Linked DNA regions of Arabidopsis thaliana. The protein of the gene in region 1 interacts with the protein of each later gene in a pairwise test. Each region holds a gene or a part of one and is shown in the gene's direction. Other genes may lie near its edges.

The links.
Region 2: the proteins of AT3G07270 (region 1) and AT1G52770 interact in a two-hybrid assay, tested with the Arabidopsis thaliana proteins (one large-scale study listed by BioGRID).

What each region holds. Positions count from the first base shown.
Region 1 is NC_003074.8:2,310,982-2,318,624, forward strand, and holds AT3G07270 (GTP cyclohydrolase I), read left to right. Parts: upstream 1-3,016; 5' UTR 3,017-3,023; coding exon 3,024-3,036; intron 3,037-3,450; exon of another isoform or gene 3,451-4,469; coding exon of another isoform or gene 4,470-4,482; coding exon 4,483-4,683; intron 4,684-4,891; coding exon 4,892-6,078; 3' UTR 6,079-6,207; downstream 6,208-7,643. Other genes in the region: AT3G07273 (uncharacterized protein), read right to left, coding at 6,733-6,945. UniProt on the Arabidopsis thaliana protein: GTP cyclohydrolase 1 is the first enzyme in the biosynthetic pathway leading to folic acid.
Region 2 is NC_003070.9:19,653,381-19,659,507, forward strand, and holds AT1G52770 (Phototropic-responsive NPH3 family protein), read left to right. Parts: upstream 1-2,450; 5' UTR 2,451-2,628; coding exon 2,629-3,384; intron 3,385-3,557; coding exon 3,558-4,166; 3' UTR 4,167-4,415; downstream 4,416-6,127. Other genes in the region: AT1G52780 (PII, uridylyltransferase (DUF2921)), read left to right, coding at 5,466-6,127.

The sequences.
Region 1 (7,643 bases):
GCATAAGCTATTTTCAGCCATATACATACTATAGCCTATATGGCTATTCAACATTAATACACTCTCGGGTAAATTTAACCTTTTAGTTGTTTTCTTATGGCGAAAGCGGATTTGGTTTGCATATTATTTAGTTGAAAAGAAAAATCAAACGAGAAAATATATCACAACCCAAAAGTATACTATACAAAATTCAGATAAAGTTGTCTCAAAAGTACTATGCATAGTACAGATAAAGTTGTCGGAAGGAAATATTAGTATGATTTTCCCCGTCTCATTACTGTACATCACTTAGTCAACGCATACACTGTTAAAAGTCAACACATACAATCATTCAAAAACGTTTGGAGTTTAACACATAACACATCACAAGAGTGATCATCACAAATTAGAAGTTTATTTTACAAACTTGAGCCTATTAAGTTTTTACTTTTTGGCCTAATGAAAATTGAAACCACTTTATTCAAACCCAAAAATCAACTTTCTTCTCTTGTTTTATCGGTGGTCAAGATCTAGGCTGTTCGCAATAACATTTATTATTTTTTTTTCCAATAATTTCGTCTTTAGTACCAACTTTCGTTTTATATATTGCTGCCGTACAACTTGCACTTGCTTACATGTTTATTTGTCTACAAATTATTACTTAAAAGTTAAAACAATATACAGAGAAATCTCCCTAAGTTATTGAGTGATAGTTTTAAGTTTTTTTTGTGAGATAAATTAATTACTATTTAGTATTTTACGTAGGTTTTGGTAAGATTCTTCGATTTTTTTTTTACTTACAAAAACAATAGAAAAAGACTGATGCATGACAAAATTCTTAGAAAAAAAAACTGATGCATATGATAACGTGAGTGAAGTTGGTGCTTAGAGTTGCTAATATTAATATATATATATATATATATATATATATATATATTGAGTGAAGTTTTTTTTTTTTTTTTTTCAATCATTGAGTGAAGTTTTTTTCTTCTTTTCTTTTCTTTTTTAATCTTCTGCTGCAGTCACAAACTCACAGTGATTGTAAAGCTGAAGTTTGTTTCCAGGCTCATTAGTCATTACCCTTGCTACAAAATTAGATTAGCATCAAAATTAATTAGTAAGTATTTAACCTAGGTTTTGATAAGATTCTTGTATTTGGTTTTCTTATCACCTCGAAATTTCCAATTTTGTTTGATTAAAAAGGATATAAGAAACAATAGGAAAACGTGCTTGTGGCATGCAACGTTGTTTTTTTTTTAGATACAGATACAAGGCTATTTTCTAAATTCAAAATCTTAATCCGACCAAATTTAAATCTATAAAAGTGATTGGTTACAGACACTATTTTACTTTTTTGTCTTTTTCAAGAAGTTATTTGGATTTTCAAAATTACAGCATTAATTAAAATAGTAAACATATGTTAAAAGCCTAGGCGGATAAGTGAAAATATGATTTAAAACATTTCTAATGCATATTTTATTTTATTTTAAAGGAGATTTTAAAATATAGAGAATAATTCAATGTGCCTTTATTTTATTTTAGAGAAAATTCTATTTTAGATATATATAATGGACTAAAATTTTTTATATAAAAAAAAATTTCTTAAATAAAAAATAATATAAAAATGAACATTGGAGATGGTCCGTAAAAAAAATGGAATATTGGAGATGATCTTGTTTAAATACTAATTACGGAACTACCTACTTTAGAGATATCTATGTGTTAATAATTGTGGTATGTGCTAATGATATGGCTATGTCATCCTCTTATGTTATATTGCAAGTTGTTTCAAAACGAAAAGTATTTGAAAATGGTCGATTATTATACGTATATACGAGTAAAAACATATTTCAGTCCGAACTAATATAATTATACTCTCTAACTACTTTCTTTTTTTGGTGAAGTACTCTCTAACTACCTTACGACAACAATTATTACCTGAACATTGAACAATGAATTTATTACGAAATACAACATGATCTACAAGATATATCGTGAAACACATTTAAATAGTCCTTATTTGGCGTTAAAAATTGTGTTCATGGTAAGTTTAATTAGCGTATAAATATGTACGATAGATATAGTTTGGGTTGAAATCGTATATTTTCCCCTTTTCTCCGTTATATGATTAAAAAAAAAACAATTTGAGGCATAGAATAAGCCCATTTAACTCCTACTAGCCTCACTCACTTCCCCAAATTTCTTAATCACCACTGGATACTATGGGCTATCTAATTTATTTTAAAATAATAAATAATAACTACTTAATTTTTTATAACATTTTTGGGGGCAACAACTTAATTTTTAATGGACCTTATAATTAATGGAAAACTGAAATAATTAAAATAATTATTACTAGATGACTAACTTTTTTATACAAATTACCAAAAGTGAATATGGAAGATTTTTTTGTTTTTTTGTTTTTTTTTGCAACATACCCTCAATAGTTTAAAACTATGCACTTTTATTTTTTACATTTAATGTTATTTCTAATGATACTGTATTACATTTTAAAAAAAAAATTTATTTTAAATATAGCACATTATTTTAACATATTCATTATGCACTTTAGTTATGATTTTGTCACATATTTTTGTTATCTATCTAATTAGCTCAATAATTAATTACTCTTATATTTGCTTAGGATGTAAAATGGAAACTTATCATAAAATAACATGTAAATATTATTAAAAATAATTTATTTTCTTATTTGTCAAAGATAATGTACTTATTATAAACACTAAAACAAAAATAAGTAATCACCATTAAACTTATTTTTATGTAAATGATATCTAATGATTAAATGGTATATATTGGTGGATAATGATGTAGATATATTCAAAGATTAAATACTATTTTTATGTCTGTACATATATGGTTATTTTAAAATTTTTATTTATGTCTATATGTCTCCTTATATATGAATGATTCCACCAAAACTCTTTTTTTTTCTCAACACATTCCTTATGAACTTTGTATACTTTGGCTATATATATCAAATTAAACACAAAGAACAAGAATGTACAATAAACCATTCTTCTGCCATGGATACAAAAGGTACTTTCCTTGTCCTATCTTTCTTCAATTATATTACACAGCCCTTATTTTACATTTGATATCTACAAATTAACATACATTTGTATATGTAAATCAGTTATCAATGCTCTTCCACTATCGATTTGGTAGTCTTTCTTCTCCAAAGTCCAAACCATGTTGCATTGAGAGGATCATCTCTATTAATGTCTGAAAATCTGTTTTTTTTTTCTTCATACATCATGTTTTCTCAGTCGGCTTGAGGAAGGCAACGCTTTCCACTTGATCTAATAAGATATTCATCTCAAGCTAACAAGAGAAAGCTTTTTTTGTTCTCTTTCTGAAACTAAAACTTATAAAAAAATCTCTAATGTTTTCTTATCCTTTCACTCGTAAACGTATTACGTATAACAGTAGAAACTTATCATGATACAAATAGTTCGTTTCTTTGATTACTTTTTAAAAATGACTTTGTAATTTCATTGATTCTGCTTTACGAATGCTGAATCTGGAATTTTGTTTTGCTTTTGTTTAGATTATATATATTTTAGATACATATAATATAGTTAGTTTCAGTTAGAGTATATACTAATAAAGAGCGACCGATCTAATAAAATTAGTCTACTAGATTGGTTAGGTAGAGTCTTTAAATATAATCTTGCAATTGATATTCCCTATCAGAGCATATTATAAGAAAAGTTCCGGTGACGTATTCAACCATTAAACCAAGAGATAGAGAATATGATTTTAAAAAGTTGATTTGGAGATTATCATCTATAGTTTTTTCTGCCATCTCTGGTAATGTAGATTTTTTATTTCCACAAATAGGTGAAAAAAAAGAAGGAAAAGAATCAAGTGGGTTACTAGCTAGGTTGGTCGGTAACATTATTATTTTGGGACAGAACATGTTGAAAGGTTTGGTGCATTCGAAAAGTCTTCGCCGCCTTGCCTTTTTAAATAATTTTTGTTTTAAACATCACTAAAAAGACTATAGTCTATAGAAAAAGAAAAGAAAAAAAGTCATTAGTTTTAATCGCATTACGCTTTCGGATAACACGAAAGGTTAAATTATAAAATGAACGATTTTACGAATCCACATATTCCTGGATCAACGGGAACCCTTCGTTTCTTTCCCACCCGCGTGTTATCCCGTTTCTCAAATTTCTCATCTTTCCGGGAAAATTCACTTTTTTTTTTTCCTGGGAAGATTCGTTGTGTTGTGAATTTTAGTGGGCACCTTCAAATTTTCGATTTTTTTTTTATTTTCCTTGTCTCTTACCTGATTTGGTGATTTATTATTACATCAACCACTCGATTCGTTAGATTTCCGGATTTGAAAAAGAGTCACCAACTTGTACGGATTCTCGTTTTGGGGATCGAGTATTGCTGATTTGTGATTTTGTTGTTTTTGGGTACTTTCCCTTTGTGGATTCGGATCTGGTTGGTGGCTTTGTCAAATGGGCGCATTAGATGAGGGATGTTTGAATCTGGAGCTCGACATTGGAATGAAAAATGGCTGCATTGAGCTTGCTTTCGAGCACCAACCTGAGACTTTAGCAATCCAAGACGCTGTCAAACTTCTCTTGCAAGGTCTTCATGAAGATGTCAATCGGGAAGGCATCAAAAAGACTCCTTTCCGTGTCGCCAAGGCCCTTCGTGAAGGGACCAGAGGTAACTATGAATCTCTTGCTCTTTTCTTCATCTTATAAGTAACTCTGTTCTTGAGCTATTGACCCTGGTTAGTTTATGTCCCGTGTAGTAGCTTGTTACTTGGCTTATTTGTTGTTATGATCTATTAGGATCTCCCTTTTTTTTTGTTTCCATTGGTGAAATAAGTTAGAATGTGGAAAGTATCAATCTTGGTGGCTTTTTTTCTCAGGTTATAAGCAAAAGGTGAAGGACTATGTACAGAGTGCTCTGTTTCCAGAAGCAGGGTTGGATGAAGGAGTTGGGCAAGCAGGAGGAGTCGGAGGACTTGTTGTTGTCAGAGACCTCGATCATTACTCTTACTGTGAATCTTGCTTGCTTCCTTTTCATGTCAAGTGTCACATAGGTTATGTCCCATCGGGCCAGAGAGTGTTAGGACTGAGCAAGTTCTCTAGAGTCACTGATGTTTTCGCCAAGCGGCTCCAAGACCCTCAGCGTTTGGCTGATGATATTTGTTCAGCTCTCCAACATTGGGTCAAACCAGCTGGAGTCGCTGTTGTTCTTGAATGCTCTCACATTCACTTCCCCAGTTTGGACTTGGACTCTCTGAACTTGTCTAGCCACCGTGGATTTGTGAAGCTACTGGTTTCCTCGGGGTCAGGAGTTTTCGAGGATGAAAGCTCGAATCTTTGGGGTGAATTTCAGAGTTTCTTGATGTTCAAAGGTGTAAAAACGCAAGCTTTGTGCAGAAATGGCAGCTCTGTGAAAGAGTGGTGCCCAAGCGTTAAAAGCTCGTCTAAATTATCACCTGAAGTTGACCCGGAAATGGTTTCTGCTGTTGTTTCCATCCTGAAATCACTGGGAGAAGATCCGTTGAGGAAAGAACTCATTGCTACACCAACTCGATTCCTCAAATGGATGTTGAACTTCCAAAGAACCAACCTCGAAATGAAGCTAAACAGCTTTAACCCTGCCAAAGTCAATGGCGAGGTCAAAGAGAAAAGGCTGCACTGTGAGCTGAACATGCCCTTCTGGTCAATGTGTGAACATCATTTGCTTCCTTTCTATGGAGTTGTTCATATTGGCTACTTTTGTGCTGAAGGATCCAACCCCAACCCTGTTGGAAGTTCACTCATGAAAGCGATTGTACACTTTTATGGGTTCAAGCTTCAAGTGCAAGAGAGGATGACTCGACAGATCGCTGAAACGCTATCGCCTCTTGTTGGCGGGGATGTGATTGTTGTGGCGGAAGCTGGGCATACTTGTATGATCTCTAGAGGAATTGAGAAGTTTGGAAGCAGCACCGCGACAATCGCAGTTTTGGGTCGGTTTTCGAGTGACAATTCCGCAAGAGCGATGTTTCTAGACAAGATCCATACAACTAATGCCTTGAAGACAGAGTCAAGCTCTCCATTTTGAGATGGTTTCATGTCTGTTTGTTGTCTTTTTTTTATGCTTCTGCTTGTCTTCTCTTTTTTTTGTTATATGATAAATACTTCGGAAGTTGCTAAACTTCGGAAGCAAACCAATGATTTCTTGGTTTTGATTCTTCTTCATGGGTTTGTTTGTTTCTACATGGAAAATGAATATTTATCTTTATGTTAGGTGTGACATTCTCTTAATATAGATAGATTTTGTTAGCCATACTATTACTACATTGGACTTTGTTTAGAATGAAAAGAGATATTGAAATTTGAAAGTTTATAAAGCATTACTCAATCCTGTTATGTTTCCAGAGCTTGAGTGTAAACATCTCTCTTTCCAAAAATGGTACTAAGAGAAAAAGGATGAAGACAAAGTTATCTGTACACAAGAGACGATCAAGATTTTGTATGGATTCCAAGAATAACTTTGACCCAGAAAAGGGGAAACAAAGTAGATACAATTGTAATGTATTAGTGGGTAATTTATAAGATCTCTCCCCTATTCTCTCTATATCCTCTCTAATATACAACTTAATGCTAAACCCATCTTCTGATGATGACACAGCCGAATCAAAACTGAACCAAAAGTCTATCAGATGCTTACCGCAAATCTCATTTCCAACAATCACACTCTCGAAAAGATTTTACTCTAACCTACACATACCTTACTGACTTGAATTGTTCTACTAGGGAAGCCTTTCTCATTATGAAGCCAACCAGTCATACCGCAACATCTCCCATTCCAATGGTGACGGGCTATCAGTGTATCAACAACGTCATTGGGATGTTGTTTAACCGAGTAAAGAGTCACAACAATGGAGATGTGAGGGAGGACCTTTCTCGTGTTGAAATCAATGAACATCTCCAATCAAAACTAGAATGGGACAACGTATGGAAGAGCTATAATATCAGCAGATTCTATCCTAAGAGCTTGGTTCCAAACTTGCGGATTCTCAACCAATGAAGTAGATTCAGCAGAATCTGCTCTTTGCTTTTTTAATAATTTACCTGACTGACCAAATAGCCATTCTTGTTCAACATCATCAACCTCATGCAATACCTCCCTTTTTGGTACATTCAAAATCTTATCCAAATATTTCAAGTCTGAATGAGGCCGCTTCTTTGCAGATGCTTCATCGTTTTCTTTAACTTTCACTGAAGAAACCGGTGGATGGCTTTTGGGTTCTTGAGAATAAATGAATCCGTTAATCTTGTGCTCCTTAACCTCTGGATTAGACACTGTTTCGTGCAACTCAGAAACAAGCTTTGGATGTGTTTGGCATGCTCCAAACTTTCTTCCGTTTTCCACGGATGATATAGGAGAAACAACTGGCTTATGTATCTTGTTTTTCGTAGATCCATTCTCTGCATGACAATTAAAGAAACTCATGCTAAGAGACAAACAGTAATAACACAAGTAAAACACATTCCCATTTCACATTTAGCACGAAAACCAAAATCTAATCCATTAATAACACTTAGTGAAAATGAATATACTAATAATATATAAAGACATCAATGAGTTATCAAGAGTAAGACATAAGGTACATCACATATAAC
Region 2 (6,127 bases), on another chromosome or scaffold:
GTTACATGATATGTAGAGAATTGTATATAAATGATCCATGAGATTATGGCTTTGTTTTGTTGTTTGTGACTTTGTGTTGATCCAAGAACTTTATTTTCGTGATGTAATATCATAAATATATCAAAAGATTACAGAAATCCTATTTTATCAGAGTAACATGTTACTGAGACAATAAACATGCATGGAAACAAAATAGAAGTAATTGTTAATTTTGGCTAGTGGTTATGGTTGCGATGTATAATAACAGTAGGACAAGGGACAAAGGTCATCGTATAAACAGAAACCATACAATACAATGTTATGTGGCCTTCATAATCAAACTAAAGAATAAAAAATGTTTAATGTCATTTGTTTGTTTTTCTTAACTCTTTTTGATTCACACGTACGTTGATTGTCCTAGAAAATATATATTGAGGACACGTCCATCTTTTCCCACGTTTTCCCTTTGTGAAATTATGTATATTTTCTAAATATGTTTTTTTTTTGGAATTAATGGAAACATTTTTCGATTTTTGTTTTTCTCTTTATGATCTCTATCTTCTTCTCAGCCTCTCAATCCTCCTCTCCAACGGTAGGATTGTATTCTCCAAACAGCTATATGAGATATGGCCCATCGCATATCTTTTATACATGTAAAATATCTCAATGTTTCTGTGTCGTTTAATTGCCAAGGCTTGAATTTCCGTGATCATATAAAATTTGTGGATTCATACTGTCATACAATGTGAATATTCATTTTGATAATACCATTTGGTCACATTTTGAAGAGTATGTTTTGTTATTTTTGATCATTCACTACATTTATCAAGTTCTTACGTTTTTAAAATGTGATGTCGTGATTTTTCAACATTCGCAACATTCATCAAGTTTTCACATTTTCAAATAGCGATTTCGTTGTTTTTCATCATTAACAATATTTAGCAAGTTTTCTTAAAAATGATTCATGTATGCATGTTTAAAATAATAAATCTACAAAAACTAGTTCTTAACATTCTGTAATTATTCAGCAAATTTGTTTGGGTCAAATGTTCCCATACTATTCTATTATTCCCATATTCATATATCAATCACCACCAAAAGATTTTAGGAAAAATTCTCGAAACAAACCCGAACTATTTAAAATCTGCCAGAAAACTACCTGAACTTTTTTCGTTGTCAAAAAAATATACAAACTAATTTGGGTTAGAAATAAAAAACACAATCTATTATTTTTTTCCGATTACCTCCCTTTGCCGTAACGGCCGTTAACGGCGTTAACCAAATCGGTTAACATTTTCAATTTTATTTATAGAAAATTTCTGGAAAAAACATAACTTATTTAATATTTGCCAAAATAATACCCGAACTTTTTTTCGCTGCCAGAAATATATACAAACTAGTTTAAAGTTGAAATAAAGAGTATGAAGTAGTTTTTTGTTCCAATTTCACTCACTTTGTCGTAATGGTTACAAAAAGGTAACAAAATAAAAATACAATTTTTTTTCATTTTCTTTGCACGTGGTAAATAAGAGTGGCGATAAAGCCGATTTTAAACCCATATAAACCCATAATCTATGGTGAACCTATTTGAATCCTAGTGTTAACATAACACATATATCCATTTCAGAAATTAACCACAATAAACTGAAGAAATTAAAAAAAAAGAACTTTCGTTAACAAAGGGGGTATTTTTTTAATTTATTGTTGCTTACATCGAATCTAGATACATGATAGATATAAAAAAAACAATTTTAGTAATTTAGGATAAAACATACCCATCAACACCATGATTTTGGTTGATATTACTCAAGAACTTAAGGTTTTAGGGGATTGTTTTAATAGTCAAGCTTTTTTAAGAATATTTTGTAAATAAAATTAACAACATTTGACAATTTGGTTAGGGAAATCGAAAAATAAATATAGATCGTGTATTATATTTCTAATTTAAGTTAGTTTGTGTATTTTTATGACAACAAAAAAGTTTATGTATTTTTTTGGCAAATATTAAATAAGTTAGGTTTTTTTCCAATAATTTTTTGTAAATAAAACTAACAGTATTTGACGATTTGGTTAACGTCGTTAACGGTCTGTTACGGCGAAAGGAGTAATTGGAAAAACATAATAAATCGTGTATTTTATTTCCACCCAAAATTAGTTTGTGTATTTTTCTGACAACGAAAAAAGTTCAGTTAGTTTTCTAGCAGATTTTAAATAGTTCGGGTTTTTTTTGGAAATTTTCCCAAAGATTTTATAAACAAATCAACTTGTTTAAGTCTTCTAGCTTATTAAGTTTGAGTTATACGTAACATAATCATATTAAGTTTGTTTCTTTCATTCATAAATCATAACGAATAAATCATACATCATCTGTTGGAATAACTTCTTCTAGGGCCTGAAAATTCCTAAATTTTCCTACAAAAATCTCATAATTGTTTTTGGATTTCTAAAATCTAAGTTGATTGTTTTTATAGGAAATGGCAAGAATTTGCTGTTTCCTTTGGAATTGTACCTTTGAGTCATGATGAGAGGACGACGTTTCAATGTAAGACTTTTCAAGAACAGAGCAAACGTAATTGCTTACACACTCTATAAAACTAACTAAACCCACTTTACACACATTACAACTTCCACCGTGAAAAAAACAAAGACATGGACAAAACATCTTCGCCGGAATCTGCCACCATCTCCACCAAATCTCCGTCAACCTCCACCGGAAAAATGGAGTGTTCTTGGTTCGACGATGGTTGCATTCTTGGCATTGATTATTTCGTCAAAACCATCGCCGGAATCAAATCCAAAGGTGTTCGTCCTGATCTCATTGGATCCATCATCGTTCATTACGCTTCCCAATGGCTCCCTGACCTCTCCGACATCGTCCTAAACTCCGATGACCAGCAACCGCAGCCGCAGCAGCAGTCAGAGAGCTTCTCTGTTACTGCGTTTGTGATGAAGAAACGTTCCTTCGTCGAAACTCTAATCGGAATCATCCCACCTGAGAGAGATTCCGTTCCTTGTGATTTCCTCCTCCGTCTACTCAGAACCGCGAACATGGTCGGAGCAGATGCAAATTACAAGGCGGAGCTCGAGGCGAGGATTTCATGGCAGCTTGATCAAGCTTCACTCAAGGAGCTAATGATACCTTCCTTTAGTCACACGTGTGGGACATTGCTCGATGTCGAGCTCATGACTCGGTTGGTTAAGAAATTTGCTGGCTTAGACAACGAAGGAGTTAAATCCGGTGCTTCCCTAATTAAAGTAGCGAAGCTCGTGGACTCTTACTTAGCAGAAGCCGCCTTAGACGGCGATTTAACCCTCTCGGAGTTTATATCTCTCGTCGAAGCTCTCCCTAACCATGCTCGTGTAACCGAAGATGGGTTATACCGTGCAATTGACACTTATCTCAAGGTAAATGTTAAGTTCAATGAGCTTCACGACTTAAAATTAATTGGTAATGAATGGACTGGCCCGTCTCACATTTATATTTATTTTACATAGTAGAAGTAAAAAAATCGAAAATTTGAAGCATATATAATTTGTGATGGGTTTTATTCAAATTGAATTTTGGTTATGTTACTTAGGCACATCCTAACGTGACCAAGCAAGAAAGGAAGAGACTTTGTGGACTAATAGACAGCAATAAGCTATCAATGGAGGCATCTCTTCACGCTGCACAGAACGATCGTTTACCGGTTAGAACTATTATTCAAGTTTTGTTCTCTGAACAGGCAAAGCTGAGTCATCGCAGCCACAACAATATTGAATGGAGTGGTTCATCGTTCAGTGGCGTTAGGAGCAGCCCTAATCCTTCTGGTTCACACTACTCAGATTCTGGTCCTGCGCGGTGTACGTCCAAACGCGAGATTAATGTTCAGCAAGCAGAGATAAGAAGATTGAGAGAAGATATGGCGAAGCTTAAGTGCGAGTGTGAAGCGATGCAAACACAGTTACATAAGCTGGTTGAGAAGAAAGGAACTTGTACTAGTGGGAATAAAGGTTTTTTTAGGTGGAAGAAGTTGGGATTTAGGAGCGGTTTAAGCGTTAGCGTTGTGGAAAACACGAATGGTGAAGAGTTTGGTAATAATGGAGAAGGTGAAAATTTTGAGTATGTGACTCAAACGCCTGGTAATATGATGACAAAGCTTGTTAAAGGAAGAACACCTTCTAGGTGGAGAAAATCTATGTCTTGAAAAACCGTCTTTAGTTTCTGTTCTTGTTGTTGCCTTCTTGTGCATTTGTTCTTCAGTCTTTGTGTCTGAATCTAATATTTTGTACATTTTGTAAGCTCATATAGTCATATCGATGGCTTGTGGGTCAAGTTTCACAATGGTTTTTATCTTATCCAAGACTCTCTTAGAATCTTAGATTCTTGTACATCTTGTTTCTCTGTTTTATCATCAGTTAGTTTCTTATCTTCGAAACACTACAAGTCTACAATAGGTTTTAAGACATTTTCTTTGGTTTCTCACTGTCTTGGTTTGTTCCTCTTCAATTTCCTAATGCTTTTTGTCTTTCACTTTCAGCCTCAGCTGCTATCTATAAACCTGCATTAGCTATAGCGGCTCTTTGGGCCAAATATTTCGGCCCAAACAATATCAAGCCCAAAATATTTGTCGTTGAAAAAGGCTACTTCTAAATTATCTTCTATATATGTACGAATGAAATTGACGTATCTTATGGTTCGAAGAAAACAACAAAGACTTGAGAAGAAAACTAAAGTAAGTCGAGGTCAATGACTAATGGGATCTCACTTAAAACATATCCCGTCGAACACGCCTCTTCCATCTTTAAAGTCAAGTCAACCACTCACGCATAAATTTATTGAACCAACCACTAAAAATTGTGATAACAATCATTTATATTTAGATAAATCATTTTATTTATTCAAAACTTTGTTATGCGCTAATTACTATTAATATCTAACCAATTAGTCAGGATTTTTCGTATTTTTTAACATGACCTAAATATAGATATAAATTTAGAAATATAATGTTAATGATTAATTTTTTTTCATTCTTATTAACTATATAGTTAGACAACGGAAAACATCTGAGATGATTAGTTGAGGGTCTATGAAAAATATCAAATATATATATATATATAATTATTTTCAGCATTAATATTTATTTACTGGAAAAAAACAATGCAAATGTTGGAGTAAATTAAAAGAAAAATAATTAAGGGGAACTAATTGTTCAAATAAATTAAAAGAAAATTCCAAAGACTTTTCTCTGTTCACTGTTCTGCTTAACTTCGAGTGTAATTGTCTCTCTCTCGATCTGTGTCATCGTCACTAGTGATGTAACTTCTTCACCAAATCGAATATTACAGAGAAACCCATACATCAATCCTCATTGTTCCCAACTTCCTCTTCTTCTCTTCCGAACCCTTTAATCAAAGTTTCCATCTTTGTCCCGAAATCAATTGTCGCGACTCGCAAGTTCCTGTCTTTTTTCTCCACAACAAGAGCTTCTTCTGTTCTTGTCAGTATGAAAACGGTAATAAATCTCCTTCCTTTGCTCTTTCTCTCATTTGGGTTCCTCTTCTCTTCTCTAGTAATTGCTTCCTTCTCGGAAATGGAGCCCGTACCTATGTTTGAATCAATCGGCGAACACAGAGATGAATCCGCACCTAAGATTAGTTACGATCGTATCAATGATGTGAAGAAAAAGTGCAAATCAGTGTTATCTTCAGCTTCTGAATTAAAGCTTGAAGATATCTCTAGAACTCCTAGAAAATCAAAAAGGAATCTTGGTTTTCGATACGGAGATTGGAATCAAGATTCTGGTGATTCTCCGATTCTACCTTTTGATTCAACGAACACACTTAGAAACTCGTCGACGAAGCCTATGAATCTTGTTTCTTTCTCAGTCACAGATCTAGATCTCCCACATCGAACCAAGAAATACATAGGCGTCAATGGTGTTTTGCTTCTCGCGATCACAATGTTTAGCGAATTACCAAGCTTAAGATCTTATGGGCTCCGTGAGTTTGAGTTATGGCCAAGTCATACTCAGCTTAAGATCTCGTTTCAAGGGATTTACGTTGAGAATGATGATGATGAAAGAGTTTTGTGTATGCTTGGTGAAACAATGTTACCTTCTCGTGATGAATCTGATTCTTCTAATCCATGGAAATGGGTTAAAGAACA